Drosophila melanogaster: one gene and its partner. The protein of the gene in region 1 interacts with the protein of each later gene in a pairwise test. Each region holds a gene or a part of one and is shown in the gene's direction. Other genes may lie near its edges.

Region 1 (3,759 bases):
GCCACATCCACTGTGGTTGCACTTGGATGATGATGAATGTTGAACCACGGCGTATGTCAGGAAGCAGGATTCAGGGTTCCCCAGTTCCGGTGACTTTGCACCCCGCATAGCTGAAATTGTTTTTTCTAAATGCTCTTCTAATTTTCCCTGCTGCTGGTTCGTAATTTTCTAATTTCGCGTACTAATAGAGCTTGTTAGGCGATAGCTTTGTTCGGAAAAAATTAAAATGTATCATTAGGAAATACCAAAGATGGCTTGCATCCATAAATAAATTAAATACAAGTAATCCAGTTAATCCGCAGCACAGTTTGTTTTTAGCTCAGGCCATTAGTTAAACTGCTTAGTTAAGTGCTTGTGAGCCAAATTTCGATGTGCTCTGCCATTCTGCCATCTCCTATCTGAAAGTCATCTGAAGACACCGCATTCAGTTCACAGACGCGACCGAGAGACATAAACAATTAAACTCATTTGACGATTAATTACGCGCCGCTTCCAAATCGCGTGTGCTGCCACCACAGCCTGCAGTAAAATGGAAAAAAATAGATGGCCCGCGGCAAAATTGTTCTATCAAAACACTGGAGGCTACAGCAAAAACTGCGACAAGAACAACACCCACAGCCAAGTACAAATTCATTTGCTGCTAAAGACACAAGAGGAACTTGCATGTCGTGTCATAATCTTGATGAATGCATAATTGCATGCCGAGCTCCCAGCTCCTCATCCTCTTCCCTTTCCCATCCACCCAACGGATCAGCCCCATACTGCCGCGATCGAAATGGGTTTAAATGTCAACCAGCATAAGAAGTCGGAACGGACCCGAAACATAGGCCCATTTCCAAATATTTTCATGGTTTTCAATAGCGAAAAGAACGTGCATCAAAAGTTCTTCTCCAACACTGGAAAAGAAAACTGATGATAAAAATCGGAGTCCAAATTTAATTTGTAACACAAGATATACTTCTATAAATCATTAACATTAATTATTTAAATGTATGTCTGTGATTTCATTTAATAATTTTTTAATTTTTATCAAACACTACTTTTGATTAATAATCTGAATTCCCAAAAAAATTGTGTCAAATGGTAACTTTTTCTAAATTCCACTTGACAAAATATTTTTGTAATTTGAGCTTATTTCTAATACCTAAGTAATTTTTCTGAGTACATCCATGCAGCATGCAATACATGAATTATGCGGCAATTAATTAATGAGGAATATTGAAAGCTACCCACCCAACCCAAACCAACCCAATCCCCATATAACCACCAAAAGCGACCACCATCATCTTGACTCGACCCATTCCGTAGGCATTGTGCGCCTCAGGGAGAGAGCCATATATTGGTGACCCAAATTATTCAATTCATTTTTATTTATTTTTAATTTTTTGATTTGTTGCAATAATTCCCCGCCCCTTTACAGCGAGCCAGAGAGAGCAAAGGGGTCTGCTTGTTTGTGTAACTATTTATTCTAATTTGACCCGCTTATTGAGGGGCCCGCCCTTCTGCGCCCCACTCACCCCGTTGGCCATTAATTGATGCAGCCGCTTAAATGATGAATCACTTTTTCATTAAAATTTGACTTTGAGTGTGACCCCCATGTGACTGGCGTTGACTTTTATGTGGTTAATAGTTAGCTTTCCTATTGATGGATATTCCGCAATTGTCGCTTGTGGAAATCTAGCCATGTGTCTCTTTGTTTTTCTTTTCTTTGTCTACATTTGCAAGTACAATGAACCAGAATCGGTGGCTTCTTCAAACATCAAACTCGTGCTGTACAAGCTGACCCATAAAGCACAGCATAAAACCGATAAAAGAAAAAGTGCACGGTACAAGAAAAAGAATGCTGAGAATCAGAAAGCGGTTGAAGATAGCACACCTGCCACCTGAGACCGAAACGTGAACGTGGGCGGCAATGTAAAGTGTATTTAAGCTGGGGTGAAGGCCATCAAATGGCAGTTAAACTTTTAGTTCTTTTATAAGAACAAGCATTAAGTGCGGTCTGAAAATGTTTCTTCCAATTGCAACTCTTTTGTTGATCTTTACGGGGGCTGCTTTTGCAGCAGATCCCTTCAATCAAGTGGAGGAATTTGTGGACTTTGAGGATATTGACGAAGTGGCCAATACTGAATCCGAAGGAGTTACTGATGTTCCAATCATTACAGCCACGCCAATTTCAATCCCCACAAGTTCTACGAAGACTGGATTAACCCGTGAATATACCGCAGACGGATTAACAACAACGACTTCCACAACACTGGCCTCAATATCTACTCACTCTTCAACGACAGCTACAACAACAACTGATTCCAGCACATCTCATTCAAAGACTAATGATTCCACCACAGATGAATCTACCACAACCGATTTTGCGACCCTGTCTTCAACCACAGCTCAAGCTTCAACGAGAATTTTAAAAACAACTGTTTCCACTACATCTTCAACGACAACAACATCCACAACTTCTCCATCGACAAGTGACTCCACCACAAATAATTCTACAACTACTGAAACCACAACTGTTCCGACAACATCAGCTTCAACAACAGATTCCAGACTAACTTCTTTATCAACAACTGATTCTACCACAAGCGATTCTACGACTAACGAAATTACGACATCGGGTTCCACCAAAAAGGATGAAACTTCCACAACTACTTCAACCACAGCCGATTCTATCACCTCCTCACCAAACACATCTGATTTCACCACAACAGAATCTATAACCGAGTCTTCCACGACTACAAGGAGCACATCAATTGAGACCAGCACCTCGTCTTCACCAACAACAGTTTCCACAACAATTGGTTCAACAACAAATAACACAACAACTTCGGTATCAACGGAAGATTCGCCAACTACCACAACTGAATCCACTACAACCACTGAACAACCATCAGAAGAAGAAATAATTCTTGCACTCCTGGCTGAAAATGCAGGAGCCCTAGATCGGTTTAATACTCAGCTTGATGCTGTCAGCGCAATTAACTGGAAAATAGACGCTGAGCTGGACAACCAGGCAGAGTACCTTGATGCAATCGAAGTCACCGAGGAACTTCTCCGAAACCAGACACAGGAACTTCTGCTTTGGGAAGTGGAACTTCTTCGAGGCGTTGTCACCTCTTTTCAGAACTTAGACATTTTTGCCAACCGATCAATCGAAGCCGTATCAGATTTAACTAGGCTCCAAGAGCAGAATAAAGATCGTGTAAGGAACCTCGTAGATAAACTTAACGTTACCCAAGGACAAATTCTGCGCAGAACAAAAGGATTGGATGACAGACTCAACTTTGTAAATCAACTTCTCCTTGGATATATCGAGCCAAAAGTAAATAGCTTAGAGGATTCGTTTGACAATCTGAACAAATCGCAAATTAATTCTCTAATTGAACTAAAGAACGTTCCCGAGGTTAGAAATCTAACGAAAACTTCCATCAGAAAACTGTCATTCTTAGATAACCAATTGGCTTTGTTCAACCAGACCCAGGAAAATAGATATTACTCCGTAGAAGCTGTCATCAAAGCCTGGACCCCCACTAATCTCAAAGAGATCAATGATCTAACTCACGCTTTAAGCATTTCTCAAAAGCGCACCGACTTGGCAATTGCCATTAGCGGATCTGCGGAGTATAATACTGAAACCTATCCGACCCGTTTTATAAGCTATAAGGGCATAGAAGATATCAACCAAAGTAGGAAAACTAGAACCCCACAGATCTTAGGTGCTGAAGATAACGCATTGGAGTCATCGTGGAATGTTGT
Region 2 (3,759 bases), on another chromosome or scaffold:
TTTACATGAATCGGGCAAGAAAGTGGAACTATTGTTGGAGAAAGAAGAAGCAGAGCGAGTAGCACCGGTTCCGTTTTGTGAATCGGATTGGATTGTCTTCATTTCGATTCCGATTCCAGGGCTTAAAGTGCAAAACCAGGGCGCCACAGTTACAAAACATGAATGAACCCATTCTTTTTGCCGAAAATAGCCCCATCCTGCTTGTCAATTATGAAAAAGCAAAATACACTTTCCTACAACAGCCAAAAAAAAAAATAAATAAATATTAGAGCCATTTTACGTGGGGATACATATGTATGTAACCACAGAAATATACATGTGCGCATAAATATTTGCATAGCCAAGTGTTTGCACAGCCATTCATTTGTATTTTATGCACACATGGATAAAAATAAGCCAATTTCGGATTACGCAAGCCTGTGATTTGGGTCTTTTCATATACAGGTTTTTATATGTGTATGTATTTTTTTTATGTACATCATATTTTCCTTATTTTTGCACATTGTATCTATTTACGTACATCAATAGGCATGCAAAAAAACGTGCATCGCATTTTGCCAGCATATTTCATAAGAAACGAAAAGCAATGCGGTTTACCGTTTACATCAAGGCATTCACGATTCTTGGTATAAATGTACATATTTGTATATTTATACAAACTAATAAGAAAAATGGCGGACTTGGATGCGCACGCAAAATACAATTTTGATTGTACAGCGTCGCTTTTTTGTTTGTATGCATACTTGCACATACATAGGCGTACACTTTTTGCATTTAGTAACATGCCGATTTACTTAATAACTAAAAACAAAAGCGAGACGCAATGGATGTACAAGCGCTTGCATGTACATACGTATGTAAGTATGTATGCAGCATATATATTCACAAAAAGTTTCCACTGCGGCTGAGAAAAGGCAATCAGGTGCCGAAATATCCAAATAAATAATAAATAAATAGGTGCCTGGCTTTTTTGTTAATTATACATTGTCGTTTGGCGGGAAAATGATTAAAACGCGGCAACCTATACATAAACGCGCCCATGATTGTATGTGTGTTGTGCCATGAGTGTATATAAATGTGTGTTTGTGTGTGCGTGCGTGTGTGTTTTAAATAAAACGCCGTATACCTGCACACAAGCTTACCTGTATTTGATGAAAGTGTTCCATAACTGTGAGATTTCGGATCTAGTCCGAATGTTTCAATCGTGGATTGGCTTTATACTGGGATTTCCGTTCTATATCTTTCACTTTTATTCCTAAATGGTTAAAGCATATATATTTAGTTTTAGCACAAGTACGTATGTATGTAATACGCACACCAACGCAAATTGGAGTCGAGTCTTAAGCCAGTTTTTTTGTCTGTTTTCCTTTTTTTAATACTGTTCTACGCAGTTTGTTGTACGTCGTATTGTATTGATTATTGCATGTATGTATGCATGTACGGCCACAAACGCGAATGTATGATGCACGTTACAAGGAAAAAAAGGAACACGGCACAAGCCAAAACTTCGAAATGAAATTCGAAAATTTAAGAATTTCACAATGCACGTTGTTTTTTTGTACTTCTTTTTTTTTGTCTAGGCCTTTTTCGCTTATTTGTTGTTTGATTTTATTTGTTTTTTTGGTTGGGAAAACGCGAAACGCGGGCGGCTTTGCGGATTTGTTTTGTCGTTTGTATTTAGCTTGTAAAAAATAAACAAACAGCGCTGCATACGCTGAGTTTATTGTATCGTATCGTATCGCTTGTGTTTTGTTGGTGTGGTATGGTATATATGCTATACAGTACACAGTACACAGCACACAGTATGGTATCGTATCAATGCGAATGCGGAAAATACAATATATGAGGTTGGTTCGCGCGCCGCTCGTACCAACAACGAATGAATTGAATTGAATTGCCGTCTCTGCCTTACCTTCTCACTGTGCTTCCAAATCCAAACGGGCGGATAAATGTGTATGCGTTGCGTTGCGTTGGACTGTGTGCGCAATTCTTTGCTGGTGTGCGTGTGTGCGGGAGAGCGAGAGCGCGAAGAGAGTCGTTATAGTCATTTTGTTGGTAGAATTAGTGTTGCTGAGAGAGCGCTCAGTGTCATATACATACATATGTACATACACGTGGTGGAGGGAAAAGGCCTTATAAAACTTTTTGGCCTGTTACTTTCATACAAACATACGATCACGGGTATGTACATAAACGCTGGCGTGCCAAACATACAAACTATGGAGTGTGTGGAGTGTGGGAAAAATACAGAACTGTATGTATGCATATGTACATTACACAGTTCTTAGGGCCAAAATTTATTTTAAACATACATATCTTATTTTTAACTGCCAGCTACATTCGTTAATGCGACGAATTCTACAAAACCGATATGCATCAATGCAAACACATTGATACATAGCCAAGCATATACAACTGTGCTCATGCTAATAGTAGTGCATATGACCGCCACTTTCTAAATTGATGATTTTATATGAATGCTATGTTCAATTTGTCAAGCGGTTTTTCAGAATGAATAAGTTCATATTAATTACTGAAATTATATGTTTTGTTAAAGAGCAGTGCAGGTACAAAAAGCCATTTGTAACTGCTTTGCTTGTTTTGCGACACAGAAGACGAAGCGAAAAAAAAAATTAATTAACAAAAGGGAATACGGAAAAAAACCGTTTGATGCCTTTCAGTGCTATTTCCACGAACGCAGCTGTATGTACATACGTGTGGAACACACAAACATATGTACATCGCAGCGACCCGCTACATACACATACACATTTTCATTTTGTGTGTTCCCGTCTGACTGTACTTTCAATTCGAATTCGAAAGAGAAAAAAATGTTCTCTTATGTTTTAAAACAAATTCTCCCTCAATTCTCTCTGTCATACAGAGAGAAGGAGTAATGCATGTGTGTATGTTTGTAATGTATGAGGTCACAAAAATCCAAAAAAAAAAATAAAATCTCAATTATATTGGCCATTAAAATTATTTATTAATTTTTCCATACTATACTTAAGATTTTCGCTTTAAAATTTATTTGCGGTTTTTTAAATTATTTGTTTAAATCGATTATTTATATATGTATATTTTAATATTTATTGACTTCGAAATACTTTAAAATACCAGCCCTGTTCTGGTTTCTTCGAATTAAAACAATATAAATTATTTTAAATGGTGAAATTAATTTCGTTCTAAAAAATTCAGGTATATTTATTTCTTAGGGAAATAAAGTATTATTTGCTGCTAGTTTTATTATGTTAAAAAAAGGTATAGACAAATTAGTAGATGTGTAATTTTGGTAAAGGGTGTGAACCATATCAAATGTTAATACATGTAATATAGTTATATTATAGCAAATATATTAAAAAAAAGAAAGAAAAAAAAGGCGTTGTTTATTTAAAAATAACGTTTTTCCATTCATGGCTTGTTTCAATCTCAGAACGTTTCTTGATGTTTGTCGTTTTGGAAGTCGTGATAGTTCGAGAAAACTATCGCTTTATTAGTGTGAACGCACGCACATCGTAAGCGTTGGTGTCATCTCCAATTGAATAATAGAATTTGACTTGCTTGATATTGTTTTACTAATATTGCCCGGGACTAAGAGCGATATGTCGAACAAAATTGAAGTCTCGCTTCCGGAGGAGGAACTGGATTGGATACAATTGCGCCAGGACCTGGGACCCGTTGCCGAGGTGGAAACGACCAAGGAGAAGTTGCAGCGCAAGATCAAGGAGAATCCGCTGGTTCCGTTGGGTGAGTGTGTTT

The links. Proteins that work in one complex are often made in the same cells at the same time.
Region 2: the proteins of CG4066 (region 1) and CG9921 interact in a two-hybrid assay, tested with the Drosophila melanogaster proteins (one large-scale study listed by BioGRID).

What each region holds. Positions count from the first base shown.
Region 1 is NT_033777.3:12,309,348-12,313,106, forward strand, and holds the start of CG4066 (uncharacterized protein), read left to right. Parts: upstream 1-2,005; coding exon 2,006-3,759.
Region 2 is NC_004354.4:16,331,797-16,335,555, reverse strand, and holds the start of CG9921 (uncharacterized protein), read left to right. Parts: upstream 1-1,955; 5' UTR 1,956-2,181; intron 2,182-3,433; 5' UTR 3,434-3,602; coding exon 3,603-3,747; intron 3,748-3,759.